Linked DNA regions of Kluyveromyces lactis. The protein of the gene in region 1 purifies or fractionates together with the protein of each later gene. This does not show direct contact. Links are inferred from orthologs where the notes say so. Each region holds a gene or a part of one and is shown in the gene's direction. Other genes may lie near its edges. The genes, in order: RAD3, KIN28, VMA1 and MET18.

Region 1 (8,474 bases):
CTGGTGTTTTGGGGAGAGTTTTCGGGCCCATTTCTGGGGACCGGAAACTGGGGATGCGATTAAAAGACAGTACAGACAGCACTCTCAACCGCAGAGACCTCATATATAGCCATAACGCCCACAAAGGGTTTATAGATGATCTACTGGCCCTTCACAAGCTCTAAATCGCTGATACATGAGGAATTGACCGATATTTAGCCGTATCTTGTCTTTAACCCACTTTGTTACCCGGCCTTTTGCCCTTTTTCCGTAATCATTTGACCACTTAATCATTGAACTATCCAATCAAGTCACTTAACGATGAGTAACATCACTTCTGTTCAGTCTCTGTATACTTAACTTGTCCATTTGACGAGTCTCCGACAGCTAGCTAGACTGTTATAATACCAATTGTCCCCGCCATGTCAGTTCTCAGACCATTAAGATTGTTACTACTGGGTGCACCCGGTTCTGGTAAAGGTACTCAGACCTCGAAACTGTTGAAAGAATTCGGATCCATCAAGGCTATCTCATCTGGAGATTTGCTACGTAAACAGATTGAACATGGCACACCGTTAGGTTTAAGTGCCTCCTCGTATATTGAGAAAGGCCAGTTGTTACCCGATGATTTGATCACCGGAGTTGTGTGTGACGAATTGAAGTCACGTGGCTGGTTAAATCCAAATGCTACTTGGTTACTAGATGGGTTCCCACGTACCGTGGGTCAAGCTGAAGTGTTAGACAAGTCATTGTTGGAACACGATGCCTCATTAAACCTTGTCGTGGAGCTAGACGTGCCTCATGAAGTGATCTTGGAGAGAATCGAAAACCGTTACGTTCACGTTCCAAGTGGAAGAGTTTATAATTTGCAATATAACCCTCCCAAAGTCGACGGAAAGGACGATATCACCGGTGAACCTTTGACCAAGAGACCCGACGATACTGCAGAGGTGTTTGGCAAGAGGCTAGAACAGTACAACAAGACAGTGACCCCATTGAAGGAACATTACTTGAAGCAAGGTATTCTGTCAACCATTTCCGGTAACACTAGTGACATTATATACCCGAAACTAGTATCGCTAATCCTACAAAAATTCGCAAACTAATACTCTCGCTCTTAACCACGATAAACATGTAAATAGAAACAAGGCACGACCAGGAGCCAGTGCCATTCAATTAGTTAAAAATGGTTTACCTTCCCATATCTTACTTAATCATACATACTTACAGACTACTATGCTCAACATGAAAAAAAAATCTTTTAAAGAATCACTAAAGCTTCTAAAGCGTTGAATATAAGGTTTGAAGAGAGTTGATAGTGTAGATTCTTCTTGATTTGTGTCTTGAACCCAACAGCGGGTATCTCGAATACAGGTTCTAGCAGTATAATGAAGTTTTACATCGATGATTTGCCCGTTCTGTTCCCATATCCTAAGATATATCCTGAACAATATCAGTATATGTGTGATATAAAGAAAACCTTGGATGCTGGTGGGAATAGCATATTAGAGATGCCGTCTGGGACCGGTAAGACTGTTTCGTTACTTTCTTTGACAGTGGCGTATCAAATGCATTATCCTGAGCATAGGAAGATTATTTATTGTTCTCGTACCATGTCTGAAATCGAAAAGGCGTTAGTGGAATTAGAATCTTTGATGGATTATCGATCTAAAGAGCTTGGCTTTGTGGAAGATTTCCGTGGGTTGGGGCTCACCAGTAGAAAGAACTTGTGTCTTCACCCCAGGGTTAGTAAGGAAAGGAAAGGTAACGTTGTGGATGAGAAATGTCGACGGATGACAAATGGGCAAGCGAGGAAGAAAAAGGAAGAGAATCCGGATGCTAACGTAGAGTTATGTGATTACCATGAAAATATGTATAATTACGATGTGGCAGATTATTTGCCTCCAGGTGTGTTTTCATTTGAAAGATTGATTCGGTTTTGTGAGGAGAAACGGATGTGTCCTTATTTCACTGTACGTCGTATGATTTCGATGTGTAATATTATCATTTACTCTTACCATTATCTATTGGATCCCAAGATTGCAGAGCGTGTGTCGAAAGAGGTCAGTAAAGATGCTATTGTGATTTTCGACGAGGCCCATAATATAGATAATGTTTGCATTGAATCTCTTTCCCTAGATTTGACCAAGGATCTATTAAAGAAGGCCACTAAAGGTGCTAATGCCCTGGATCGGAAAGTCGAAGAGATGAAGAAAGTGGATTCACAGAAATTACAAGATGAATATGAAAAGTTGGTTCACGGGTTAAGAGCATCGGATATCTTGGAACCCGAAGAAGAGCCGTTGGTGGAAACACCAGTTTTGTCAAATGATATATTGAAGGAGGCAATTCCTGGGAATATAAGAAGAGCTACACATTTCATTTCATTTTTGAAAAGATTTATCGAATATTTGAAGACTAGAATGAAGGTTTTACATGTCATATCGGAGACACCAAACTCTTTCCTCCTTCATCTCAAACAATTGACATTTATAGAAAGGAAACCTTTACGATTTTGTTCAGAAAGATTGTCGTTATTGGTTAGGACCCTTGAAGTCGAGGAAGTGGAAGAATTTAACGCTTTGAAAGACATTGCAACTTTTGCTACTTTGATTTCTACTTATGAGGATGGGTTCCTCTTGATTATAGAACCGTATGAAATCGAAAATGCGGCAGTGCCCAATCCAATCGTTAGATTTACTTGTCTTGACGCATCGATTGCAATTAAACCTATCTTCGAACGATTCTCATCGGTTATTATCACTTCGGGTACCATATCCCCGTTGGATATGTACCCTAAGATGTTAAATTTCGAAACTGTATTACAACAATCTTATTCGATGACTTTAGCGAAAAAATCATTCTTGCCAATGATTTTAACAAAGGGTTCTGATCAAGTGGCAATATCATCTAGATTCGAAATTAGAAATGATCCTTCCATTGTTCGTAACTATGGTTCGATGTTGGTTGAATTTGCCAAAATCACACCCGATGGTTTGGTCGTTTTTTTCCCATCTTATTTATACATGGAATCCATTATTTCAATGTGGCAAACTATGGGTATTCTAGATGAGGTTTGGAAATACAAATTGATCTTAGTGGAAACTCCCGATGCACAAGAAACTGCTTTAGCATTGGAAACATACCGTAAGGCCTGTTCTAACGGACGAGGAGCCATTCTTTTGTCAGTTGCGCGTGGTAAAGTGTCTGAGGGTATCGATTTTGACCATCAGTACGGAAGAACTGTACTCATGATCGGCATTCCGTTCCAGTATACAGAATCTCGTATTCTTAAGGCAAGACTAGAGTTCTTACGTGAGAATTACCAGATCCGAGAGAATGACTTTTTATCTTTTGATGCAATGAGACATGCAGCTCAATGCTTAGGTAGAGTTTTACGTGGTAAAGATGACTACGGTGTAATGGTGTTGGCAGACCGTAGATTTGCAAGGAAGAAAAGTCAACTACCAAAATGGATTGCACAAGGTTTATCTGATGCCGACATGAACTTGTCCACGGATATGGCTATCGCCAATACTAAGCAATTTTTGCGAACCATGGCACAACCAACTGATCCAAAAGATCAAGAAGGTGTATCTGTGTGGAGTCATGCACAGTTACTGGCGCACCAAGAAAGTGTTAAGAAAAAGCAACATAACGGGTTTGTTGATTCGGATGTGACAGAAGTCAAGGATAATGACGGGGACATTGAAATGAAGGATTAGATAAAGGGATTCTACTCTGCTTATAGAAAGAATTTTATTTTAATTTATATTCACTGCATATATACAGTACTTTCTTTTTATTTATGCATTTACTATGCGATGTTAACATTAAATGTTACTTCCTTATCGGCATCCAAGTAAGAATCACATACACACCATATTGTTAGTTCATGATCACCAGGATCTTCCAATTCGATTTCCAATTCGTAGTCCTGGGTCATTTTTGTAAGCGCGATCTTCCTGATAGCATATAGCTGCCTGGAGCTCTTTTCACCGATGAATATCCACCATGCTTCAGTTTTTTCATGTGGCAACGACTTTGAGCTAACATTTAGTGTTTCTGGTTCTTCATCTCTACTTACTGTTACAGTAACCATTTTTTTGTCGTGAGGTTTCATCGGTGCTGACATATCTAGAGCATACTTCAACTCAATGTTTGGATAACTGTTGACAAATTCTGCGACTTTATTCAACTTATTTTCCGGTAAAGTGATGATATCTTCTCTTTCTTCATCCTCTAAAGCCATCACGTCATAAACTGTTTCTACATTATGGTTTTTGCATTTCTCCAAGATGTCTGTATCAAAGAATGGAATTTGTTTCAAAGGTGAATCAGTATCCCACACACCTTGAACAATCATTTGACTTAAATCCATAGCAGTAGTGGCATTCAAATAACCGTTCATTGACAATATATCTACCATTGTTCCTGCTAAGCTAGGTGCTTTTGAAAGGATTTCAGACAAATCAAGTGATAAGTCCATGGGTAAATGAAGACCTGAAAAATGGGCCTGCAATAACACAAAAACCTTGGCTGTTGTGGAGCGTGGATCGAATTCGGAGGACAACTTCAAAGGTGAAATGTCGTATAATTTTCTTAATGGCTTTATATCATGTAATCTAAGAGGCAATGTCTTAAACTCTTCACTTGAAGACAAAATTTCAAGAATACCGCTCATTCTTAGTGATCTTGATGCTGCTCGGCTAAAATTGCATATCGTTAAACAACTTACGGCATGGATAGCAGAAATAAGACAGGCATTATTCGGGGAAATTACCTCCTCTGCAATTTCTGTGGAATCGTTCGCTTCCCCTTCAACTGATATAAGCTCGGTTTCCTTCATGGTTGTTACTGCTTCCTCTACTAATTCTGTTAAATAGGAGGAAATTTCGTCTGCAGTCACATCTTGAATACCGTAGAAACTTGGATTTGCATGTATTCTACGATATAGATAAGTGTAAGTTAAAAGGTCGATACAGTCTTGCTTGGTTTCTAATGTTTGGTTTGCAAACTCCGTTGTAAGTAAATCAATAACATGGTATGGCAGAGAACTCTCCGTTGGTAACCCATCACAAAGGAATTTTTTATAGTATTCCTTCCTTTGCATTGTGGTGATTAGTTTTGCATGTGCTTGCTGTTTATTTGACGCCGTAAACGCTGTTCCCATCATCTCAAGAATAGTATTTACAGGATAATCGATGTATCTGTTCTCCCTGCCTTCAAAATATTGAGTTGTAGTAACAAAGACAAAACTTGATGAAGGGGCATCAAAACAACAATCCCTACTTGCAACCAAAATCGATATCACCTTGTATTCATGGAGCTTACGGACTACATTCCTATCGGAATAATGCATACCTTGGTATAGAATTCCTATACCACTTTGCAACAGTGTCTTGAGGTTGCTGTCCTGGACCTTGTTGAGATACGAGTGTAAACTGGATTCCTCTGCTCTAAGAAGATCAATGCCTTTAGCAACAGCGAGACCAACGAGTTCTGTCGCGAAAGAAACGCATTCATATCTGTCAGTGACGAAAACTGTTATAGTTTCATCGGGTGAGGCGACACGATTACTACTTTCAACGATCTCAGTTAGGGCCATTCGATTAGAAGTAGGGCTTTTTACTAAAATGCTAGTTTCGATATCGACTGTCAAGGGTGTTTGCCTTTCTAAAGCAGTAAAATTGAAAATACTTGATTTTTTTGCACCTAACCATTCTCCGAAATCCTTTGCGTTGGCAAGTGGGGTTCCAAGCCCCACAATCCTTATATTCTTCTCCAATTGTGTTGCAATGAAAATCATTCTCGTAATTATGATTTCATACATCGGTCCAATTATCTCGTTGCCTATTTCATGGATGTCATCACAAATAATTAGTTCTATTCTTTGAATGTTTTTTCTTTCCGGCCAGCGACGAGACAGGTATTCAAATTCATTCGGAGTAGCTAATATTAGATGAGATTGGGCTAATTGTTTTTGATCGTGCTGCAAATTTCCAGAAAAAGCATTGATCAGTTTTCCACCAGCCAAATGTGAGAATCGCTTTTTCCAATTCTTTAGAAGTTCAGTTATCTTGGTTTTGAATGGACAAATGTAAATCGCACGTCCTCTGCCTTCTCTCCAATGGTTCAATAATGAAAGTTCTGCCATTATTGTTTTACCGGAACCTTTTGTTGCACATATTAGTGCGTTTTCAGTTTCATGGTATAATGTATCGAAAACTTCAGTTTGAACTTTATTGAAAGAATGGAAATTGTATAACGCCTCAAATTCATCAATTTGTAGTTCCTTGGTACTTTTCTTAATTGAATCAGAAACAGATATTGCAGGAGGGAATGGTTTAGGTAATTTTATTTCACTCAAAATAACAGGAATCTTGTACTCACAGTTTAGCCATTTTTCTGATATAACGGATACAAAATAGTTCGGCGGTAACATTTTCTGCTTCAAAAATACAACAAAGTCAAGATACACAATGCTGTTTATTGCATTTCTCCCAACATGCAATGTCTCATGATAAATTGTTTGTTCACCGTCTGTGTCTTCGACAAGAACAAGGAATGTTTCAGAATAGCTGCTGGAATCCAGATCCCAGATCCATGTAGGTTGGAGTTCCAACTCAAAACGAAGTAGTGAATTTGTAACTGGCTGCATTGCGCAGTGAATGCCAATCTTCGGGAATCTTTGAAGCAAATCGAAAGCAACTTTACCATTTTTTGGAGATCTTAAGGCTTCGCCTACCTCATGAGCATTCTTCAACAGTAAGAAATCGTTCCAGGGTAAACCAGACGCTTCTGCTCGTCTTATGATTTCTTGAGGGCATCTCTTGAATTGCCTAAATGGTGAGTTCGTGGGCCACATTCTGCTATCGACGCATTTACAGATGGTAAGCAGAAGCTTGGTTAGTCTTGGCCATCCTTTTCTTAAGCACATTTCGAAGAGTGCTCTGAAAAGTCTACCTGCGCTCTGAGAAATGTAAATCATATCCGCATTTAAAGCGAACCCCTCCAATCGTAATTTTGAAATGTACACCTGAAGTAGAATGTTTGCCTTGGCTAATGAATCAGTAGCCTTCTCCTTGATCGGAATTGGACAACGCTCGACGAGTTTCTCTAATTCAGTTTTCTCTTCTTGTCTTACGGTAATGTTCTTAAACTCTTCTGACATAGCAAATATTCTCAGAATGTCGATCAAAGTGCTGTTTATTGTTAACTCCCGGTTGTATTTTGCAATTGACGAATAACTTATGTAGAAATGAGAGGATATTCTACCTAGCTCAGTTGGTTGTACCGACTTAGAAAGAGAGTCATAGTTTACAAGACCGTTATTCTGTAATAAATTCAACGCCGTATGCACAATATTTCTGTTGACTCTTATGAGCTCAGCATCACTCATGTCTCCTGAAGAACCTTGCAAGTTGTATAAATGAGGTGATTGCTTCATCCGTACTGATAAATAGGAATAACCCAACCAGTTAACTGCTTCATCTAGTGAGGTGACGTTACCTAGAACTATTTCAGCATTAAGATTATCAACAACTTTTGAAATCATTTGAGATTCTATAGGGAGTTGTTGGTTCAACACAGCGAGATAATAACGTACGTCTGATTGGTTTGTAATAATGATCCCTTCACCATTTACGTCGTATCTCGGCCTACCAGCTCTTCCTAACATTTGAAGGATATCTTGTGGGGGAAGCATGACCCAATCACTTTTCTCCGGTGAATACATTTCTGTACCTTTAATTATGACAGTGTGGGCAGGAAGGTTAACACCCCATGCTAAAGTTGCTGTGGAAACAAGAACTTTTAGCAAACCATCAGCAAAAAGGTCTTCGGATAAAGATCTATCATCCTTTGTAAGGCCTGCATGATGGATACCGAATCCATAAGGTATAAGGTCGGAGAGCGATCTATCAGTAGCATTACTGGATTCTGTCTTGAGGATTTCCAAGGAACCTTTATCGGTACCTTGGAACGCACTTATTTTATCTTCATTTATAAGTTTTTGAATAAGCCACCTAGCAGTTCTAGCAGTATCCTTTCTCGAATGAACGAAAATGATAACTTGGTGTCCTTCTTTTGCGGCCTCCAATAATTTATCATAGCATGCCTGGTTCATGGCATTCTTCTTCTTTAAAGCATTTTTCTCAGTGATGCCACAATACTGTTGTGCTAAAGGACATGGCCTGAAAGTTGAATCAAAATAAAATAAGCCATTATCAGGAACATGAAGGAACTTGGCCACGTCAATGTAGTTTGGTAAAGTGGCAGAAAGTGCAACAAGCCTCGTAGGAATTTCTGCCGTTGTGTCCCGTAGAACCCTTGCTACTATTGATTCAATGACCGGACCTCTTTCATCATGTAATAAATGGACCTCATCTATGATGATCAAACGTACGAGTTTGTGAAAGCTAGTGTCTGTTGATTTTCTTGTGATTACATCCCATTTTTCCGGAGTTGCTACTAAGAGTTGGGTTTCTTCGATT
Region 2 (6,360 bases), on another chromosome or scaffold:
CCTCCATTTGACGTCTTTATGCCAATTTCTTGCTATTTGTTCCTCCAATTTTTTATACTGCCCGCCAAAAGCTATGTTAAATGTTTTAAGTAGAACATTTGAGCTATTCATGACCTCCAATTGGCTATTAGATTGATGATCTGGAATATCCTGTCCGCTGTATACTTTATCATGTACTACAACGTCTTTCCTTGTTTTCGGATCAGTTATATAAGATTTGTCAGGTAGTGGAGGAATCAATACTGAGTATGCAGAATCAAGCATCGATGCCACAGGTATCTTTGTTCCGTTTTGTGAGACCCTCTGAGGCATCAATATATCCATGGCCTTAGTTAGCGGAGAGATGAAGTTCCTTTGAAAGAAGTCTGTCTGTAAATCTTCAGTATTCATGTTAAGCTTATCCAAAATATCATCATAATCTAGAAATAATAGTGCGGATGTGTATAATGGTACAATTCCATCATTGCAAGCATTTGCATACACTGTGCAGCTTTTAAAGCATTTTAGAATCCTTCTCAAAGCAGACGAGCTGGATAAAGTTTGTAGAAGAGGCTGTTTAAGTCCATTGTATGTTTGTAGGCTGAGATCCTGTCCCGTCTTACCGGCAATACCCATTGCCAATAGCCGCTGGATATAAACTGCGTTGTCACTAACAATCCCAAGCATGGGAGATGCCATTGTTATGAAGTTTACAGGTTCAACCTGTTCAAAAAACTTTGGATAGTTGTAAGAGATATAAGCAATTGCGAAGGATTGAACCAATCCGCCTAATGAATGTCCAATGAATGAAATTTTTACAGTAGCATCATTGTATAGGTTATGAACTATATGTTCGGCCAACCGGGTCCCTAGCCATTTTATGCCTTTCTCTGTCTTGCATACATTGTCGGTGAATCCTTTCACAACTAGCATTTCCTCATGTTGGTTTTGAGTCTTCTCAATCTGTTCCTTGATATAAAATAAATCCGACGTAACGTTAGAGTGTAAGCCATGCGTAAGAATGACGAGATGCTCTTTTCGCCTACCAAAAACACTCTTTGAAAGCAACGATGCATTCCAAAGATCTGCGGTAGTCAGTCTATCCACTTTCATTCTTGAACTCTGTACCCCCAACTGGATATTTCTTGCTGAGTCCACACTTATTGATTCCTTACTACCACCTACGGTGATAGAAAAGTTTATCGATGCCTGTTTGGTAAATAAGATTTGGCTTGCAATGTCAACAATCCATACGTACCGTTTCTTCAAGTTGTGCAATGAAAGCTCCGCAATAAAATCCTGTTGCGGTTGAATATTAGACTCAAACTGAGGTTGATCAGCAGAAATGAATAATCTTTGTTTGTGGTGGTAATCCTTCGTTCGCACATCCGCGTACAACACGTAGGGCCCCATCAAATACGCTGCCCTGAGCGTCACGTTTTCAATGTTTTTGATCTTCAACCACAATGAATCCAACGTTAAATCACTGGGTATCTCATCTCCCATATAAAGGTCATAAGTGAAAATATATCGCTCTAGCTCCCCTATTCGCAACGACGACTGGAAATGGTACATGATATCATGATCTGATGCAGTCATTTTTAACCACTGATCCCGTTGGTGCTTTGCATTTTGTCTCATCGTTGAAGGGATTATGTATCTAAGCATACTTTGCATTTTGACACTTCAATTTCTCCAGTCAAAAATCGTATAATGGTTCGTATAAAGAACTGGGTGAGAAACAGCAACACACTATACACCAATACGTACCCTCGAGTGAGGTTTCACACTAGATTGATGTTCAGGGTGCTTTCTTCTATACATATATGCAACTTTATTTTATACTATTTACAGTGTAAATCCAATTATCATTCCCTGGCGCAGAACGGTGTTTCCAACTGAATATTTGATCAAGCTGACATGTCCTGAAGTAATTGCTTAGCCTTCTGCTCAGAACTAAACGCGTCCATAGCATCAATTACATCATCTAGCCTCTCACCCTTCATGACCCCCTCGATATCATATAGTGTGAAGCCACATCTATGGTCCGTGATTCTATTCTGTGGGTAATTATAAGTTCTGATCTTGTCAGATCTGTCTGTCGTGGAAACTTGATCTTTCCTTGCATTCCTCTCTTTCTCCTCTTTCTCAAGCCTTTCCTTTTCGGCCAACCTTGCTCGTAGGATAGCAAAGGCTTTGGCTTTGTTTCTGTGTTGAGACCTTTCTTCCTGCATTGAAATCACAATGCCTGATGGATAATGTGTCAACCTGACAGCAGAATCTGTAGTGTTGACATGCTGCCCACCTTTACCACTGGCTCTCATGACATCGATACGAATCTCATCTGGCTTGAAAGTCCTCTCGTATGCATCAGATTCACTTTCTTCACCCATTTTGGGTAGCACAATGACGGCCGCAGTGGAAGTATGAGTTCTTCCCTTTGATTCTGTGGCAGGCACTCTTTGAACACGATGAACTCCGGCTTCGAATTTCAATTTATCATAAGAACCTGGTTCATCTATATTCAAGATTGCTTCCAGGACTCCGCTACCGCTTGCGTTCTCAGTTTTTGATATTAGGTTCCATTTCCATTTATGATAATTTGCATAGTTAATGTACATGTTCAACAGATCTTGAGTGAATATCATAGCTTCAGAACCACCGACACCAGGCCTTAGTTCTAATATACTGGGTTTATCTGCAAAAGGATGAGGCGGTAGGAGTTTATTCAATAAAGAGTCCCCTGTCTTGTTCAAATCTGGGAGTAGTGCTGCTATGTCTGCTTCGGCTTCTTCTCGTAATGATGGATCTAATTCCAGTATCTCCTGTAGTTCTTTATACTGATTGACTTCTTCTCTGTATTTGGAATACGAATCCACAATCGTAGATAGTTTGGCAAAATTCTTCTGTTTCTCAAGATCGAAGGATCCACCCTGCGACAACAGGTCCTCTAACTCTCGCAATTCATTGACATACAGCTCTGCTCTTGATATTAGCGATGAGTGCAATGGTCGAAATTCGACGGCTTCAGAACTGTTAAATCTGACTTGAAGAGCCACGTTTCGAAAGAACTTTCCTCTTCCAAACAATTTTGAGATCATTTCCCCAATCGAATGTAGTTTTTAACTCTGAAGATCCGATGGTACTTCGTTTTGATTCACCATACACTTCTTCCTTTACATAGCATAATATGTATCAAACTTTCAAAGATTTTTCATATTTAATATAGAAAGGTCCAAGCTTCTGCCAACATGCAGATAGACATTTGATGTTTAAAGTCATCGTTGGATCTGGGAACTGATTCTGTCATACGGTAGAGCTCGAAGTTATAAACCATGACCCTAAAATCTACTGTTGATGACTATACTAAGGAGAAAAAGGCTGGTGAAGGTACGTATGCCGTGGTTTATTTGGGAACTAAGAAGTCCACTGGAAGGAGTATTGCGGTGAAGGAGATCAAGACCTCACAGTTCAAAGATGGACTTGACATGTCAGCATTACGTGAAGTGAAGTTTCTACAAGAGTTGAAGCATGTGAATGTTATTGAATTAGTAGACGTTTTCATGGCAAACGATAATTTGAATTTAGTGTTGGAGTTTCTACCTGCCGACTTGGAGATCATTATTAAGGACACTTCTATTATGTTCAGTCCAGCAGATATTAAGTCCTGGATTCTAATGACTTTGAGAGGTGTACACCATTGTCATAGAAACTTCATACTTCATAGAGATTTGAAGCCAAATAATTTACTATTAGCACCTGATGGTCAATTGAAAATCGCAGATTTTGGTCTAGCCAGACTAATGGCGTCACCACAGGAGATTTTGACCAGTAACGTTGTTACCAGATGGTACAGAGCACCGGAGCTCTTATTTGGTGCAAAACACTACACCTCTGCGGTCGATATCTGGTCTGTCGGTGTTATATTCGCAGAATTAATGTTGAGAATTCCTTATTTGCCGGGGAAAGATGATGTTGATCAGATAAACGTAACATTCCGTGCGTTAGGAACTCCTACTGATGCGGATTGGCCTGAAGTTTCTAGTTTTAGCAATTATAATAAGATTCAAATATATCCACCTCCATCGAGAGAGGAATTGAGAAGAAGATTCATAGCGGCTACGGAAAATGCACTTGAACTGATAAGTGGGATGATGATAATGAACCCTAAAAAGAGATGGGATGCAGTCAAGTGTCTACAAAGTCAATATTTCCAGGAATTGCCGGAGCCTACACTTCCACAAGATCTTCCTAAGCTCAATAAATGAAAATACCTAGATATATTTTGAATAGAATACGAGGATATGTACGAAAAAAAAGTTCATTATTGCATGTTATCTGTTATTCCTAACCGTGAAGTATCTTCTTCACGTATCTCCCGATTGGGATACTTGACGTTAAACCTGGAGATTCGATACCTAGCAGGTTAACAAACCCCGGGAATCCTTCTTCTTCTTTAATATAGAAATCTTTGAATTCTGTGTCACCTGGTGCTGCTAATTTAGGCCTGATACCGCAGTATGAAGCCTCTAATTCACCTGGTTGCAGATGAGGGAAATATCTTGTGATGGTTTTGGCAGCGTCTTCAATATTCAGCGGGTTTGGGATCAGATCATCCGCAGAGTCAACATATTCAAGATCAGGACCGAATCTCACTTGATGATTTAAATCAATGGTCAAATGAGTTCCCAATGATTTGCCATTTCTGGGAGGCACAGGATAGATCAATCTTCTCACAGCTGGAACTTGAGTCTTCGAAGTGAAATAATTGCCCTTGGCATAATATTGCTTTACCTGACGTTCAGGTGGTAAGATCATATTAGCAATCTTGTCTGCATATAATCCAGCAGCGTTGATAACATTTTCTACACGAATCTCGACTTCTTCTGCAGTACCATTCAGCGTTTCCACGCATTGGAGAGCGTAGCTAGATCCTAAAAATTGAATATCCTTAACTTCAGATCCAATCACAGTATCACCCCCCTGGTTATCAACCATAGCAGAGAGGTATTCTATCAAAGAATGTGAGTCGATGATACCCGTGGTTGGAGATACAAGTGCACTTCTTTCGACTATTACAGCTGGCTCTTGCCATTGAGTCTTGTGACTGGGCAAAATTTCTACTGGAAGATTTAACTCATATTTCGCTTTATAGTACATACGTTCAACATATGCATCTTCGAAATCAGTTTGTGCCACAACCCACTTACCACATTTCAGCCAATCGACACCAGTCTTCCTGGGATTCAATTCATTGTATATGATATGGTTTCCTTCAATACAAAACTTCGTTTTTAACGAATCTACTGGGTAATACAAACCAGCATGAATCACCTCACTATTACGGCTCGAAGTTTCTTGGCCAATCTTTGCATTCTTCTCCAAAACAATCACTTTATTGCCTGGGACTTTGGTAAGTTCGTTGGCAATAGCCAGTCCGACTACACCTGCACCGATAACAGCATGCGAATAATCAACAGGAGCCGAATAAAAACGTGAAAACAATGGTCGAATCAAAGAGCGACAATTAGCTTGGAATTTTAGCACCATTGATAGATATTGATTGTGTATTGACACCTACTTTCATGCCTTTAACTTAAATAATCGGACCTTATCCGATTATGTGTAACGGTTGGTAAAGAATCATTTTATAGAAACTCGAATTTTAACCAGGAAAGGATCAAAACCAAATACATCATCAAGTTCTTACGCACAAATGGATCAAAGGCAGACCTACAGGATTAAGCAGAACGTTAGGCTTTTGTGAGATCTTCCAGGCTTTATTCGAATCTTCTGATATACCCGAGAGCTAAAACTGTTTTTGTTCGAGATGCTTGGTTTTAGAAGCTGTATCTTGGTATCAAGCAGGAGACTGATTTCCAGTTTAGCCAACAAACGGCCACCATTGCATGAGATCTTCCCACAAAAGAAGATGGTTAGCAGGATATTGTTTGAGCTCGATAGTCGGCTTGCATACAATAAGCTATATCCTATGTATGAGAAGCTTTATGAGGGACTAGACACTGGTAATGATGTTGATATACCCAATAGCATCAAAGGGAAAGACTTAATGATAATGAAAAAAGTTCTTGAGAAAGTGAGGCATAAGACTAAAGCTATCAACAAGAACCTATTAGCCTTGGAGAATGTTTTGTTGGATAGGGCTGCTGAGATCGGAGACAATGATGCTATATCGCTCTTATGTTTTGATGTTCTAAAGGATCCAGACAGTAATACTGAAGATGACGTATCTCATGCAAAGAAATTGATTAAGAACCTCTATCAAATGAATCACCCTTTAACCGTCAAACTAACTGCTGATATAGCTCTGAAGAACCATGACGATGCTACTGCCGAAGTGTACTATATGAAATTTTTGGA
Region 3 (8,609 bases), on another chromosome or scaffold:
TGGCAGATCTTACGATAGAATTAGTAAACTGATGGAGCAAAGAATCAATTCCAATAATACGTGGTTCGAAGAGTGTAGGATAGCCATCAACGAGATGACAGATATCGCCATTGACAGACTTAACAAATGCAGTGAAATTAAGGGCAAGATATAATATTCCAAAAACGAAAGGTAAATAATAACACTTGAAGCAACTATAGTTTTTCTGATTCATTGCGAGGGCAGCGTTACATTCTCCAAATATATCATACTTGCCATGATATATATAAACATTTTGTGCCTTCTGATCGAAAAAAACCCGAATCGATGTAATTAATAGTATTGATGATATATATTTATTATAACAGACGTTATGTATTCAGTGATACCACATTACGAGCATTTAGATCATGTCTCCGTGTACGTTCCAAAAAATGATATTGCTAGTGAGGAACATAGGCGGGATGGCAACATTTCGTAGAATACCTATAACCTATGAAACAATCTTTTCCTGATAGATAAGATCCCAGTGAATTACAAGAAATAATCCGGAGTCTTTCTACTTACGGTTGGTTCACCGGGTCTTACGGATGGATTATACTGTAAGAACTGTCTATTCATCGTATCGTCAACTTCCATGATTGCTGCTTGATTACCACATCTATAACAGTAGTTTGGAGCGCTGAATATGGTAACAACACTTTGTTGATGAGACCAAGCATATCCTTCCATAACCAATTGATGTGCTCTCGCAATCAATGAGAGATCGTTTGTATGATTGAATTGCTCACTAATGTCTTGACCAAACGTGAAACCTGCACCTCTTGGACTTATACCCCAGCCACCTCTATCATCCGGGTCTGACCATAATAGATCACACATTGGACCTTCATGAGGAACCTCTTGTATTCTATTTAGTTCTCTGACTTGATCAACCGTTTCGATCATTGGTGAAAGGCCACCATGTAGACAGAAGATCTTGTTATCCACTAGTGCGGTAATTGGGAAATAATCAAACAAATCAGTAAACATTTTCCAAACGTTAGCGCTACCGTATTTCCTTAGACACTCATCATAAAACCCGTACACTTGTGTAATCTGCCTAGACTCATGATTACCTCTTAGAATTGTAATTCTGCTTGGGTAACGGACTTTTAGTGCAACCAAATATGAAACAGTCTCTACAGAATAATAACCTCTATCGACATAATCACCCATGAACAAGTAATTTGTATCGGGACAAGGTCCACCGATCTTGAATAATTCTATCAAATCGTGGAATTGTCCATGAACGTCACCACATATCGTCACGGGGACGGACACAGGTTGAACGTTGTCCTCAAATTGAAGCACATCAACCGCCATCTTACACAACTTGGCAACATCTTCCTCCGACAAACATTGACATTGACTCAACTTTTCTAACCATGCATCCAATTGACCGATACTAGACCCAGTCAGTTCCACGGGTTTCGTAGCCTTATTGTCAGCTATTCCTGACGTACCTGGAGACGAACTCGCCAATCCGTTATCAAAACCTGGAGCTTCTTCGTCTAAAGTTGAATCCAGTTGATCTTCTACTGCGTCATGCATAGGCACATCAGTATCAACATCCATTATGTAATGCAGTAATGTTTTGAATGTGTTAACCCAACTCTTTTATTCTAGCCGCTGGTATATTAGTAACAAATAAGGGTTTACTCCAGTCTATATGCACGCTTTGTCAAACGCCTTTGCCAAACACTTCCAAATGGTCCGTTCTTTCTTCAATTATTATTTATAACCTTCTTTTCCTAATTTCTCAAAATATTGGGAGAAAGAAAGTAGGGAAAAAAAATTAAATCAACAGAGAACAACAACGCACTCACAGAGGACGACGTTGTATTAGATAGGACACAACTGAGTTCAAATTGTTCCGGCTCAAAAAATCACTTGGCCTCAGAAGTGGTTGATATAAATGAAAGTTTAGTGAGATTCTACCGTTAACTGAACCTGGTATCGCTAACAATTTCGTAAAGAGTACGTATACTTTGTATATACTTTTTTCTTCCTATCTTTCTTCCTTTTTTGTATGGCATTTTTTTTGCTCTTCCATACTGTGTAGGGAAGATCGGAACACAGATAGTTACAGAACGGGAGATCTGGCGAGAGGGCGATACTTCCATATTACTTAAGCGGCCAATTTTAGGGTCTCAAAGACAAGAGCATCACGCACGACTGTATCAGTTGAAAGTAAGCTGTCTGAAAACATCATTGTTTTACTTTTACTTCCACAGGGAAGGCTGGGTTCCCTTTGTAGTATGTAATATTCTTCCGTTGAAGGCGGTAGGGTAACTATATATCAGTTCCTGTGTCACACAGATGTCAGCGATTCTTGGATTTAGATATAAACTGAACATGGCTCCTTCTGTGGATTCGAGACTGTATCATTGAAATACATTTCACTTGTTATAAGTGAACGATTACGTTCGGTGGTCTTTCAAATCCCCCAAAGGTTACAAACAATGACGGAGACTTTAGATCTTAGCAATAGTCGGTGGGTATTCGATCAAAGCCTGTTACAAGGTGATGCGCAACATGCAGAAAAATCTCAGGGTCAAAACTTGCACCATTCTGAAAAATCTGTTAGGGAGTTGGTTATTTCTAAACAACATACTCGTGTTTTCCCTGTGGATAACCAATTAATGGGCCGGATGGAGGATCAATTAGTTCGATGGAAACGACCAGCATCCTCGCATCTTGGCACAGTACAAGTAATCGAGGGCACTCATCCATACCAACAGGAACCTATTTCAATGTCACAAACGTGGTCCCAGATAAGAGATGCATTTTCGACAAGAATGCAGAGAAATAGTATCAATGATACACAAGAGGATGAAGAAGAAGATTTAGATGGGCTTGACTTGGGCAATACCGAAATTTGGAATTACAAAGACAAAGCATTTACTACTGAACGTATTGACACCTACCGTTCCAACATTATCGATGAATACAATGCAACAACGTCAATGACTGCAAAAGCCGTACCCGTAACGTTGAAATTACCAGCAAGAACAGATGATATGACGATAAATAGTCAGTACACGTATCACTACCCAATTCCACAGTACTACCTACCACATTCACAACAACAGCAAAACAACAACAATGTAACAAACTCTAGACAAATGACGCAGGCTTCTCAAGATGCATCCTTCTCTTGCTCCAGTTGGTTATGTTTTACTTGAGTGAGATTCGTATAAAACTGACGCGCGTCAAAAAAAAAGACGAACCATGTGATTAACTTTCATAGACAATGAAACAGTTTAGAAAACTGGAAAAAAACGCAAGATTAAAAAGTTCAAAGGAATTTAGGCTAATATTTATAATCAGTAAGTATCGATCTCAGGCACCTTTAAATACAATTGGTAACAGATGGCGATTAATACTAAAAAGATCAAACGGTTCATATTCTTTCACCTTGTTGTATTTCAATTTTTCATCGTTGACTTTTCAAATTCTGAAAAGTTACCCTGATAGAATTGATAAGGGGCAAACTGTGCTGATAACACTAGTATGAAAAAAGATTGAAATTAAGAATTTGAACTTAAAAGGAAACCATTATATGAATGAGCGCGTGGTTTGAGTATTGAAATAAATCCTGTAGAACAACGTTCATTAACTAGTTCATCGATACTGACCTTAAGATAATAATATCCTCGGAACAATTGACATTGAGATTTGTACCTAACATTACGTGGGTATCTTCCTCTATTATTTTTCTTTCTTTCTTTCTTACAGTTAATAACGTTTTCAATTAAGAGTAATTGATTGATTGGTTGATTAATTAGCTAATTTAAAGAAGTTATTAGGGCGTGCAAGTTTAGAACTACAGATATCAAAAATGGCAGGTGCATTGGAAAACGCACGTAAGGAATTGAAAAGAGTAACCCTTGAAGACCATGAGGAGAGTGAATATGGTGCTATTTACTCTGTTTCTGGTCCTGTGGTGATTGCAGAAAACATGATTGGATGTGCCATGTACGAATTGGTTAAAGTTGGTCATGACAACTTGGTGGGTGAAGTCATTCGTATTGATGGTGAAAAGGCTACAATCCAAGTGTATGAAGAAACTACAGGTGTTACTGTTGGTGACCCTGTTTTAAGAACTGGTAAACCATTATCTGTCGAATTGGGTCCAGGTTTGATGGAGACAATTTATGATGGTATTCAAAGACCATTGAAGGCCATTAAGGATATCTCTCAATCTATCTATATTCCAAGAGGTATTGATGCTCCAGCTTTGAGTAGAACTATCAAATGGCAATTTACTCCTGGCAAGTTCAAAGTAGGCGACCATATCTCAGGTGGTGATATTTTCGGTTCCATTTTCGAAAACTCTCTTTTGGATGACCACAAGATCTTGTTGCCACCAAGAGCAAGAGGTACTGTTACATGGATTGCTTCCGCTGGTGAATACACCGTTGATGAAAAGATTCTAGAATTGGAATTTGACGGTGTCAAATACGATTACTCCATGTATCACACATGGCCAGTGCGTGTTCCAAGACCTGTCACCGAAAAGCTCTCTGCTGACTATCCTTTACTCACCGGTCAAAGAGTCTTGGACTCTTTGTTCCCATGTGTTCAAGGTGGTACCACCTGTATTCCAGGTGCTTTTGGTTGTGGTAAGACTGTTATTTCTCAATCATTGTCTAAGTACTCCAACTCTGATGCAATCATTTACGTTGGTTGTTTCTCTAAGGGCACTGAAGTAATGATGGGTGACGGTAAGGATGAATTGATAGAGAACATTCAGGTAGGCGATGAAGTAATGGGTAGAGATGGACTTCCAAGACAAGTTGTTGGCTTACCAAGAGGTCATGATGACATGTACCAAGTTACCGAAAAATCAGAGGACAATGAAACCGCCAAGATTAGTTTCCAATGTAACAGCTCACACAAGCTAGTTCTTGTCACTCCACAAGATATAAGACTAACAGAGTCTAAGGAAAAGGTTACCGTTGCATTCAACAGATTGGCAGACATTTCAGTGGGAAATGGTACTGAATCACGCACTGTTAGACTAGTTGAAAGAGCTGAAAAATCTTTTGCTAATGCTGAAAGTAATCAAGCTATCATAAATGCTGCTGAATTTGTCACTACTATTGACACGACATCCATTGAATGGACTTTGGAGGCCAGGGATATGTTGTTGGTAGACTCTTCCATCCGTGAAGTAACTCAACAGTTGATAAACCCTGTGTTGTTGGAGAAGGAACACTTAGCAGGCGTCTTAAAATCAAACGATTTCCAATCTTCTTTGGCTCCACAATTTTCGTATCTGTTGGGTGCTTTCGTTGGCTCCTCCGGTAAGGACAACTCAGAATATCTTCAACAACTGTCTGCTCAATTCGATAAAAAGATTGTTGCCGAAAAGTCTATCGATGTGCAATCTAATGGGAAGACCGTTGGCACTGCTAGCATTGTTATTTCTCAAGAGCCAGTTCAAGAAAATAAACGCAGAAAGGTCGCTCAAGTCAGTCTTGTCTCCAAGATCGTTCAAGAATCTTTCTCTAGCGGCATCCCATCGTTCATGATGTCCGAAAACATCAATGTTCGTGAAAGTTTCTTGGCAGGTATTGTAGACTCTCAAAACCAAAAGCTAGATGACACAGTCGCTCTAAAAACACTATCAGTCAAGACACATGACGGTATTGCGAGATTGGCGCGTTCTTTAGGTATCCGCGTTTCCGGTAAGAAACAAAACCAAGAATACACATTGACTCTTTCAGGTGATGCTTTGAAGAGTGTTTCAAATTGGACCTCCACTTCGAACATCGAAAAGGTTGATGTAATTCATAAGGCTCAACCTATCTCTTTCGATTTAGAAAAAATTGAGTCTGCTGATTATTTTGGTGTCACTTTAGCTGAAGAATCAGACCACAAATTCTTACTATCAAACATGACTTTGGTTCACAACTGTGGTGAAAGAGGTAACGAAATGGCTGAAGTTTTGATGGAATTCCCTGAATTATTCACAGAAATTAGTGGTAGAAAGGAACCTATCATGAAACGTACCACATTAGTTGCAAACACTTCTAATATGCCTGTCGCTGCTAGAGAGGCCTCCATTTACACTGGTATTACATTGGCTGAATACTTCAGAGATCAAGGTAAGAACGTTTCTATGATTGCCGATTCGTCTTCTAGATGGGCTGAAGCTTTGAGAGAAATTTCAGGTCGTTTAGGTGAAATGCCTGCTGATCAAGGTTTCCCAGCATACTTGGGTGCTAAGTTGGCCTCCTTTTACGAAAGAGCTGGTAAGGCTGTTGCTTTAGGTTCTCCAGACCGTATTGGTTCCGTTTCTATTGTTGCCGCTGTTTCCCCAGCCGGTGGTGATTTCTCCGATCCTGTTACTACATCAACTCTTGGTATCACTCAAGTGTTTTGGGGTTTGGACAAAAAGTTGGCTCAAAGAAAGCATTTCCCATCCATCAATACTTCTGTTTCTTATTCCAAATATACAAATGTCTTGAACAAATACTACGAAAAGAACTATCCAGAATTCCCAGTGTTGAGAGATCGTATGAAGGAAATCCTTTCGAACGCTGAAGAACTTGAACAAGTTGTCCAATTGGTCGGTAAATCTGCTTTATCCGATGGTGATAAGATTACCTTAGATATTGCTTCTTTGATCAAAGAAGATTTCTTACAACAAAATGGTTACTCTACCTACGATGCATTCTGTCCAATTTGGAAGACTTATGATATGATGAAATCATTCATCTCTTACCACGATGAAGCTCAAAAATCTGTATCAAACGGTGCTAACTGGGCAAAGCTATCTGAAGCAACGCGTGATGTCAAGCATGCTGTCTCTTCATCGAAATTTTTTGAACCAAGTAGAGGTGAAGAGGAAGTTCATGCAGAATTCGAGAAATTGTTGACCAATATTCAAGATAGATTTGCTGAATCAACCGATTGATCAAACCTAAGTAAATTTTCTTATGGTTCCGACCGCACCCCATCCTTACTTTGTTTCACCTTTTACACCCTATATAACATAGAAATTCTTAAACAAAGAAAACAATTCAATGTTTGAGATTATCATCAAAAAAGAACTAATTAATTAATAAAGTACTTTATTTTAACCACATCTTGATACTGAAGACGAACAGTCCGACCTGTAAGGTCACAACTATGTATAAAAATTAATAAAGTAGCATTTGAAAAAGCGGACTTGAAATATTGAATTAATACATAATAGAAGAAATACTTAACTATTTTTTACCATACACGTATTCTACGCTTTCAAAGCCAAGTATGGATGAAGACAGTAATTGATTGAAATCAATTGAGCTTAATACAATCTGACAATTGAACGCCTAGTGAATTGATTTAAAACGTTGACGAAAAAAGACATCCTAGAGAAAATTAGGATCACAATAGCACCAACAATACCAATAATAATTAGGAAAGGGGGCTATGAGAAAATCACTTTAGAATAGTTCTTATTTTCCATTCAAAACCTTTCCAAACCCAATATATCACAATTTGCAACGGATTTATTATAGAGACTAGATGAGAAATCATAAACGTTAAAAAGGCAGGAAAAACCATAATCACAATTAAATAGAAACCAACAGCATAAGAGCATTGTTCAATGCACTCGCCATTGCGCAACTAAATCTTTGCAATTATCTCGTAATGAGAAAAGTTCTTTCCCTAGTTTATTGATTCAGTCCGCTTATTTGGATCTAGCTCTCACCTTCCGTCTCTTTCTCTTAAGTCTTCTAACTCTCTTCTTTCTCCACTTAGCACGCATTTCGGTGATGAAATAGGTTTCTAAGTTCTTGACTTTCTGAGAATCAAAAGAGAATATATATAACAAATTACATAAATACAACTGCAACAAGAATAAACTAAATTAGAACCAGTGAATATATATATGATTTTGGAATTCTCTTCAAAAAATCAAAGTGTTAGGAAGAAAGCATCCATATTTAATTTGTACCAAATCCTTACCAAGGTTTTTTTTTGCAAATATTATGTTTGGTGGTAATTTTTCACTCAAAAAAAAGTGAGCAATTCTCTACGGTTGTGTATGGAAAGCGGGTGAGCAAGGAGTTTCAGTGCGGGTAACAATATACATGTTAAAGCAAATGAGGGCACACAGGTTAAGTACGTAAAACAGGTCAAAATAGCCTCATTTCGAAGCCGTAAAAAAACCTTATAGTCAAAACGGTCAATCTGCAGTCAGTGGTGGTGATCTTTGGATCTTATTGGCTTGTTATTGGTGCCTCTTTTGGTATGTAAGTGATTTATCAGGGCCAACCCTTATATCTTGAAGCTTTGGGTTGGGTATTCGATTTCCTATTTCGGTATTATAATAAACTCTTTGATTGTCCGATTGACCAAATTTGGGTGTAAGGGTGTTTAACTGGTGTATGGGTGTAAGCAGTCCTAAGTTCTTCGGATGTCTAGCATGTTTGGCATATTATTCGGTCATGTCCCTTTGTCACTTCGGTTATTTATTTCCTATGTGAATGCACTATAAATATATATAAATATATCATCATATAATCATATATGACGCATCACTAGTTTCATTTGTGGACGGACTCTTGTCGTATTGCTTTTCTTAAATC
Region 4 (8,689 bases), on another chromosome or scaffold:
GAGAAGATAGCGAAGTATACTGGCCGTATCCACACCATTCTTTTAAGAAATTGAAGCAAGATGCCCTCGCCTCGAATGGAAAGAAGGTATCACAATCAACTTTCGTTCTAATCGAGAAGTAGAAACTGGAAAGGAAACCAGAAAAGTAATGACGCAAAGGTTGAAACTCAAAAGATTTTTGAACTTCATCTATCTCAAGGAAACTTTTCATTTCCTTCAGATAATGAGACAATTTCTGTAAAATCCAGTCATCTGAGTTAATCAGTGGATCTTGTAAAAATGGAGATAATATTACTAGAATATGGACCATTTCCATTCTCATAACATTGTTGGAGCTGTTTATGTTCCAGCTTGTCATAAATTGATCTATACTTTCAATGTATGCGCGGTATATGTTGATATTCATTGCACTCAAACCAGTGATTACTGCAGATTTAATAAAGTTTTTGTTGCAGTTTAATAGAGGCAAGACCATTTTGAAAACAGAAGTAGCAGATTTGATTTTTTGATGCTGAACGGTGAAAATTTGCTGACTTTTCTTACGGCCATGCTGTCCAGTAGCCGCTGGAATGTGTAGTTTTTGGTCATTCGTTGAAGTAAGAGAGCTGCAAGCCACAATTAGATAAAGCTTCCATTGATTTACTACAGCTTCGGGCAGTATATCCTTGAACTTCTCAGTGGAGTTGCTCATTATTGATAAAATTAGTTCATAAAGTTGCACTAAACGAATGCAGACGATGGACCTGCATAATGCCATAGTTACTGGTGATTGTTCAAATATGTACGTTAAGAGTTTTGGAAATACTCTTTGCCAAAGAGCCGCATCGACCCCATATTCAGATTCACAAAGTCTGACTAAGATGTTCGTCTTAGATTTCATGGTTAACTTGACAAGTCTAGACTTTTCGGCCACACTAAGCGATTGCTTCTCAGGTTCTAGCAGTTTTGGAATATCATAAGATGGGAGCATATCGATCAATCTTGATCCACTTTCCGCTACCAAACGAGAAGAAGATCTTGAGTGACCTTTATCATATGTTGTTGCCTTTTGCATCAACGCTTTATCGAATTTGGAAGTCAATTGAAGAATTTGAATTGCTAATCGGCGGATAGAAGCATCGGCGCTGCAGAGAAAGAATAAACCGTTGCCTTCGACATCTTCCACGACAGTTTGGGTATTTTTCCATTCAATTTTCTCTAATTCATGATAATTCGCTTCCAAAGTTTTGGGGGGCAGTTTCATTCCATTGAGAGCGGCATCTGATTCTGATTGTTGGATGTCGTTCTTAGTAAAATCTTCGAGCCAGCATTCAAGCAATTCGACGTATAGTGCAAGCAATGTTCTGTATTCTGCGGAAGAAAGATAATACAAGCTATACCTTGATTGTGTCTTTTCATCGAAATCAAATGAGTATTTAGCGAACCAAGTTATTAGGGTGTAGGGATTCTTTTTGGCAGCTAATACTTTCAATGCATTTTGGGCACTTGTCGCAATCAGCTGATCTGCGTGGACAGCATTCCTGGATAGAATTTCAATCGTAGATTTGAATGGAATGCTTTGAGACACTGACAAACAGCAGGGCAAAACCTCAATAAGGGTTGCAAAAAGTGCCATATTCAGGCTTCGTGCATAATTTGCACTGTTATCATTATTGATTCCGAAACCAAAATTTGTGATATTTGAGAAAGGTGTGGAAGGTTGGCGACGGTGTTCATTTTCCGGTGACCACACCTCTGATCCTATATTAGAATCAAGTAACATGAAAAGTTTGTACAAATACTTCACAAGTTCCTCATGATTGGCCCAATTTTTATCCGAAGAATGTACCGATATCTTATTCAAGTCAACTTCATAGAACCTGCGTTCTCCATCAGGGAATATAGGCCTTTCTTTAGTCATAAGTAATCCTCTATAAGTATTGATGACTAGTATCAATTTTTCATGTGCAATATTCTCTAAATTCGTCCCATTAAAGGAGGATTTCATCAAATGTAGAAGAACATTTTCAAATACGAAGGTAGGATGAACGTATCCCACAGTCACGAAAACATCACATAGAGGGTTTATGATATCCATATCTGTCGTGATCCAGTTCTCCTTCTTCTTTGAACTCAAAAATAACGAGAACAATTTTGTCAACGTTTTGTCTGTATTGTTTAAGGTTTCAGTACATCTGAAAAGATAGACCCATATCAACCTTGAAAGGCCCATGGAGAAAGCAACACGATCTTCTAATGACTTAGATTTAATTTTGGTAACGTTCTTCTCGATCAAAGATAACCAGTTTTTGGAAAACAATTCAGTATCTGAGACACACAACACTGCCACGGTCAACTTGAAAGCAAGTGTCCAGCATTTGCTGTCAGTTTGAAGTTTTTTACAGGTAGCTAGGATCGACGTCATTGCTTCTATCCACGTTGGATGATTAGCCTCTGCTGTCATTGCTCCAGCCAACGGCAATAAAAGTTGACTTAGTACTTCAGCATAAGCCAAACGAATAGAAGTGTTTTGGGACGGAGCAAAGAACTTCGAAATAGATTTGATGAACCCTGCACTTTCCTCAAACATTTCTAGAGGATAGTTTTTAAGCCTCAAATAACGCATTCCTAGGATTAAAAGGTGCACAGAGGGCTCTTGATCACGGGGAACTTTGGGAGGGATTTTTTCGAGATCTGCTATAAATTTATCACTGACAGAGATAAACTTTTTTTCACTCATCCAGCCTAATAATTCCGCGAACGAGTTCCAATTTGCTGATTTAATTAGCGTTGAAGACAGTGATGATGGATCGGTAGTCTTCAATTGTGTGAAAACGATACCTTCAAGCTTCGTACTTAACTCATCATCAAAGTCCATAGGATTCTGCTTGACAATCTCGATCAAAACACGACACAAAATATAAATGGTAATAAGAGATTTTCTATCGGCCTGGAAAGCCATTTCTTTTGTTCTCTCTACCTGGTTCTCTAATGATGCAAATTTGGGATCTGAATGAGAATTCAGGCTTGTAGAGGACTTTGATGAGGTATTTCTTCTATGTGTCAACCTGCTGCTAGCTGAGCTAGATGATTTTGAGTGAGTTCGACTAGCTGCCAGAACTTGCTCATTATTCTTCACATACTGCTCATATTCTTGCATGATTTTATCCAGTTTTTCCGCTGCTAAAGCAGCTACTTCAGACTTTGTCTTCCTCCAAAACATCATTGCATCTATTACCGGTTTCGCATTTTTCTTGGAAATGAAACCCAACGATTCTATAATTTTGTCAAATTCTATATCCTTGCCTTCTCCTAAAATTTCTATAATTGGAGGTTCCGTCTCTCTCGGATATTGTAAACATATATTAAGCTTCATCTCGGCAAATCTTACGAACTTTGTGAAAAGAATGTGTAATGCGTATTCAGACGGACTTTTCCAGTCAGTTGCCGATTTCTGTCTTAATCCGGCAACGTATTCATCGGGGAATGAGGATGTACTATTAGCAGATGCAGGATCAGGTCTTGGTTGCTGAGATACCTCGTTGATGCTGTAATTTATATTGTTTGTAATTTTGTTCGACAGGTTATCTCCCGGCTTGTTCAATTGCAATGCATTGATATGGAATTGTTCTGGGGTCACACCATTAGGATCTACCGGTGGAATGTCTATGATATTCAGTGTCTGTTGAGGATAATCTGTATTGCTATGTTGCACAGCCCCCTGGTCAATCTGGGTGGAAGGATACTGTTGTTGCTTTTCAACCTCTACTTGGTTCACATTCTCACTTGGAAACTTAAAATCATTACCCATATCATCAGAAAGTAAGGTACCATGTGCCCTGTTTTCTTTCCCCACTGGAGGAAACATAAACCCAGAGTTCATGTCCAATTGTAAGTTGTGGATATCTGGCAGTATTGGACCTTTCTTATTATGATTTAAAACAATTGGAAAGCGAATTTTCGTGACAATAGGCCTTTTGATAAAAGCACAATTCAACCCAAATTCTCGTATTCCATAAACCTTGGGAACACGATCAATTATGAATAACGATCTCTTACCGCGTAGACAGCAATTCTTTCTTCCACTCCCTTATGCAGATCATTTCATCGTCATCTCCTACTGTTAACTTCACTGAATTGTTATTCTTGATCTGGTCACATGATACGGAGTGTTCCGGGTAATCAAATAATTAAGCCTAATCGGAAGCATTGCACATATCAAAATCGTAATGTGGAATAAAACCCAACCTTAGTCAACAAGAACGAGTAAGAACTCAACGAGTTATTTAGTGCTTTAGCATTCGATAAACTTGTCATTGAAGACCGCCCTATCACTGTAAAATATTTATATCGTACCATAATGGCGACAGACTATACAGAAGATAAATTGAAAGCAGACATTGTCAGTTTTATGGCTAATGCAAAGGTTAATACTTCTGTGGCAGACAAATTGGCCAATACGATCGCTGATGAGGTAACTCGAAAGAGCATTGAATTGTTACGAATTGTAATATTTTTACGAGAGTACTTAACCTCTGATGACGATAGCACCAGACAAAATGCATTGAGCTGTTTATCTTGTATATTGGAACACATTTCACCAGCGGTACTAAAGAAGAATGATGTTTCAGTGATATTCGATTTCTACCAAAGTAAGATGGAAGATTCAGGCTGCATGAAAGAAACACTACAAGGGATCAACTCATTAGTACTAATGGACTGTTTTTACGTTAGTCACGTCGAAAAGCTGTTAAAACTTTTAGGAAATGACTATCAACCTACTAACTTTTTGGCTGCGACTAGATATTTCGGATTCAGGATTATGGATAATATACTTATCAAATTCAAATCCCAGATGTTGGGCAATCTCAAATTGAATGACTTATATATCGAAACTTTTATTCTTGTTGCAACTGGTGAGAAAGATCCTAGAAATCTTCTCATATCTTTCCGTTTGAATTCTGATATTAGCACCGGTTTACGCAACATTGACAGTTTCAAGGAGGAATTATTTGATATATTATTCTGCTACTTCCCAATCATGTTCAAACCCCCAAGTAATGATCCATACAAAATTACCAATAATGATTTGAAACTAGCCTTGAGAAGTGCCATCACTGCCACGGAAAAGTTTGAGGAGGATGCTTTTGGGAACCTCTTAGATAAATTGGCAGCATCGTCACCAACTGTTAAAAATGATACTATACTGACCCTCAAAGCATGTGTGGATACATTCAGTGGAACATCATCTTTGAAACACTGGCTGCCAATTTGGGATGCCCTAAAGTTTGAAATTTTAAATGGCACAGACCCGGAACCTTCAATCCTCGATACTGCAATGGATACAGAAAACCAAAACTCGAGACCAGAAGGAAATATTAGTAACTACTCGGATTCGCTCTCTATTATAACTTCATTATCTTCGAAACTCATCGCACTAGATGAACATGCATTTGATAAATTTTTTAATCATATATTTGATGAGTTTGTTCCAAATTTTGAACAAGATAAGGATTTAAAACAGTGTTGTGACCTGCTCGCTTCAATTTCTAAAGTGAGCTTGCAAACATTTAATAAAGTCATGAAAAAAGTGATTCCAGTGCTTTTCATGGATAAAGACTTAGATGCTTCTAAACAGAAACTCTTGATTCTCAATTTGGCGCCATTTTTTAGCGCTTATATTTCACTCTTTGGCGAGACCGGTAAAGAGATTTCCAAATTCCATGCTAAGAATGAATTACAAAATCACAAAGACAGCATATTAATGGTTTTCAGCAAGGCATTAACTGGTACATCCAAAAATGAAGTTACCCTGAGGACGCTTGCTATCATACAATTCACCACACTAGTTAAAATGTCAGGTTTTTTGGATAGCGAGGAAATAGCGATGATTGTCCAATATTTCACCGAAACAATTTTGACTGACGAGAATAAGAATATATACTGCGCATGCTTGGAGGGTCTCAAGTTTATCAGTGTGTTCAATGAATCCATTATTTATGAAGTCTCTTTGAAGTACATGTTACATCTACTTCCTGATAATGAAAACATGGTTCCAATCACATTGAATAACACTGATATAGTCCCAATAGAGCGAGTTTTGAAGGTCATTCTCGATTTCACTACTTCAAGGCACCATTTGGTCAAAGAAAGTATTGTTGGTCTTGCTTCGAAATTAAACCTCATTGTAATGCATCCAAATTGCAGCGATTATTGTTTTTTGATTTTGTCATGTCTTTTTTCCCTTTTGCAGAATAACATTGATGAATTCGACCAGAACGTTGTGCAATTCTTGAAGGAATCGATGGAAGAGACATTTTTACAAAACTCTTTGAAAAATGATATGATATACCTTGATGACCACTCCTTGAGCCTTGCGGCTGGAGTTTTATTTCAGCTTAACATAAAATCTGATGTCTCAACCCATCAAAGTGAACTTATTACCTATAATAAATGTTTCTTGGATGAAGAAAGAATTTTTGATTCTGCTCAAAGATCTATTGTGATTTACTCCAGGCTTTTGGCAGCTTTGGATAAGAATACATCTTTTGAAGCCGCGAATGATATATTTTCAAAAGCCATTGAACTCATTAAGAATAATGAAGCTCTCCCAACTTTCGAATCTCTAAATTACTTGGAGTTCTTGGCGCTATTATCAAATAAATGGGTTACAGAATCTTACATAGAAAGCGTGCTGGACCTAACTGACACATCTATTAAGAATCTTGAAATAATATGCTGGATTAACAAAGGTTTGGTCATGAAAAATTCAGTTCTTGCAACAAAATTGACGGATCATCTATTTTCTCTTTTAAGTGACGAGAAGTTTGGCAATAAGGTTGCTCACCTCTTTGAAGTTTTAGTTCTTGACCTTCTAATTTTTCAAAGATTTAAAAAGGTGTCATGGAATAACAATATTCGATTAATTTACAAGCAGAAGTTTTTCAATCACATTGCACAAAAAATGGTAAACGCCTTCAAATCTTCTGATAATATGACCATTAAATCGAATTATCTTACCGCAGTTTCTTTAGTTTTAAAGAATACTCCATCAAATATCACCATATCGTATATCACGGACTTGTTACCTCTTCTTCTTCAGGCTCTTGAACTAGAGAATATCGAAGTCAGAATATCATCTCTAGAGACACTAAAAAATACTGTGAATCAAATGTCTCAGTTGGTTACTGAACATGTCCATTCGTTAGTTCCGCTGTTACTTAACTTATTGGTCCCATCGAAATATAGTAACGTGAACGTAAGATTTCTGTCATTAGAAATTCTTCAGACTTTAACAACCAGTGTTCCCCTTAACTACTTGATCCCCATGAAGAATGAAATTATATCAAAACTTCAAATTGGTTTAGATGACTCGAAGCGTAGAGTGCGCAAACAATGCATAGACACAAAACAGGCATATTTGGAATTAGGACAGGTACCATTTGAGTAGTTCTACTTCCTTCAAATAATGAATATACTTAATTAATATATATGAACCGACAATGAACACTTGAGTCTACTGAGTATTTGATCATATGCTGAGAGAAAAAAACACACCTTTGTATGAGCCGCAATGAAAACTCCGTACCTGTACGTCTTTGTAAATATGAGCTCAATAATCTTCATCTTCGTCTTCTGATTCCTCCTCATCGCTCGCACCAACTGGAGCCAATCCAGGTGTGAGAGCTTTATATCTGTGGTCTTGTATCGATTGTGGTAGCTTCTCCTTGAACTGTTTCTTCTTTTGTCTCCTAGATTTTACCTTCCTTACCTTCTTTGAATCTTCTGAGTTGGCAAGTATTTGTTTCTGTAAATCTAACAGTTCTTCCTTATCGTCATAATCCCAACTTTTCAGGTTGCGAACATTTTTCTTCACCACTTTATCCAAATAGGATTTCTCATGATCCGTAAGAGAATTATCTACTTGATGCTTTCTTAGTACTTGTAGCTTAGCCTTCTGTTCTATATCCTCTTGGACTTCTTTTCTTCCAGATATCTTCTTTCTCAACATTTTCTTCTCCCTCTTTTTGATCCGGTATACATCCTTTTCTTGTACCTCTACTCTTTTCTTCAAGTTCCTATCTATTAGTTGTGCTTTCGAGCCTTTGTCTCGGCTTGTTTTCTTTCTTTCTGCATTAACCGACGCAGAACCCGGCAGTACGCTTTGCAACAATGCGTTCACAGCGTTGGTAGCATGAGCAGCTGCAAGAGATGACATTATAATCAGAGAATTTTAGTTCTTCAAACCTTGATTGTCAATACAGAAGACACTTTTGTAACAGTTCGAAGCACTGTAACTATCTCAATCGGGGAACTTGATAGTTCACTCTCATCACATCTCATCTAATCTCATCTCATCTCATCCATGGCGTATTATCCAAATTTTCATTTTAGGTCATGAAATATTAAACAAGAAAAGAAACAATGGTGCCCACTTTAATGCGAATATTTTGGCACGTGATCGAAGTTGGTTTATTACCCGGTTCTTGTTGTTGTTACCCGTACTTTGGCCCATGGCAATAGTGAATGTCAAAGAAAAAAGTAAACACGATAAATAAAATTGTGAAAAAGAGGATGAATTTGAAAACAGTTTGATTTTATTCTGAATTTAGTTTTGACACGAGAAAAGGACGAACAGAGGTTTGTTTTCAACACGGCAACGGCGGCTAAAAAAATAGACGCACCGAAAGCGAAACAGTAAAGAATTCTA

The links.
Region 2: the proteins of RAD3 (region 1) and KIN28 purify together in Saccharomyces cerevisiae (co-purification; 6 studies listed by BioGRID, with this or other methods). This does not show direct contact. The link is inferred for Kluyveromyces lactis from reciprocal best matches to the Saccharomyces cerevisiae genes RAD3 and KIN28.
Region 3: the proteins of RAD3 (region 1) and VMA1 purify together in Saccharomyces cerevisiae (affinity purification with mass spectrometry, with the first as the bait; 3 studies listed by BioGRID). This does not show direct contact. The link is inferred for Kluyveromyces lactis from reciprocal best matches to the Saccharomyces cerevisiae genes RAD3 and VMA1.
Region 4: the proteins of RAD3 (region 1) and MET18 purify together in Saccharomyces cerevisiae (affinity purification with mass spectrometry; 4 studies listed by BioGRID, with this or other methods). This does not show direct contact. The link is inferred for Kluyveromyces lactis from reciprocal best matches to the Saccharomyces cerevisiae genes RAD3 and MET18.

What each region holds. Positions count from the first base shown.
Region 1 is NC_006039.1:1,575,956-1,584,429, forward strand, and holds RAD3 (TFIIH/NER complex ATP-dependent 5'-3' DNA helicase subunit RAD3), read left to right. Parts: upstream 1-1,367; coding exon 1,368-3,704; downstream 3,705-8,474. Other genes in the region: adenylate kinase ADK2, read left to right, coding at 402-1,085; ATP-dependent RNA helicase BRR2, read right to left, coding at 3,797-8,474. UniProt on the Saccharomyces cerevisiae protein: ATP-dependent 5'-3' DNA helicase.
Region 2 is NC_006041.1:1,321,630-1,327,989, reverse strand, and holds KIN28 (TFIIH complex serine/threonine-protein kinase subunit KIN28), read left to right. Parts: upstream 1-3,314; coding exon 3,315-4,247; downstream 4,248-6,360. Other genes in the region: putative lipase ROG1, read right to left, coding at 1-1,656; MRF1 (Mrf1p), read right to left, coding at 1,890-3,080; KLLA0_E14763g (NAD(P)/FAD-dependent oxidoreductase), read right to left, coding at 4,327-5,529; MSS2 (Mss2p), read left to right, coding at 5,810-6,360. UniProt on the Saccharomyces cerevisiae protein: Catalytic component of the TFIIK complex (KIN28-CCL1 dimer) which is the protein kinase component of transcription factor IIH (TFIIH) and phosphorylates the C-terminal domain of RNA polymerase II during transition from transcription to elongation after preinitiation complex (PIC) formation, thereby positively regulating transcription.
Region 3 is NC_006042.1:525,410-534,018, forward strand, and holds VMA1 (H(+)-transporting V1 sector ATPase subunit A), read left to right. Parts: upstream 1-3,862; coding exon 3,863-6,946; downstream 6,947-8,609. Other genes in the region: KLLA0_F05335g (2-oxo-4-hydroxy-4-carboxy-5-ureidoimidazoline decarboxylase), read left to right, coding at 1-154; phosphoprotein phosphatase 2A catalytic subunit PPH22, read right to left, coding at 514-1,596; KLLA0_F05379g (uncharacterized protein), read left to right, coding at 2,484-3,206; MRX19 (Mrx19p), read right to left, coding at 8,568-8,609. UniProt on the Saccharomyces cerevisiae protein: Catalytic subunit of the V1 complex of vacuolar(H+)-ATPase (V-ATPase), a multisubunit enzyme composed of a peripheral complex (V1) that hydrolyzes ATP and a membrane integral complex (V0) that translocates protons.
Region 4 is NC_006042.1:439,846-448,534, reverse strand, and holds MET18 (Met18p), read left to right. Parts: upstream 1-4,339; coding exon 4,340-7,429; downstream 7,430-8,689. Other genes in the region: TAO3 (Tao3p), read right to left, coding at 1-3,862; RRT14 (Rrt14p), read right to left, coding at 7,592-8,197. UniProt on the Saccharomyces cerevisiae protein: Key component of the cytosolic iron-sulfur protein assembly (CIA) machinery that mediates the incorporation of iron-sulfur cluster into apoproteins specifically involved in DNA metabolism and genomic integrity.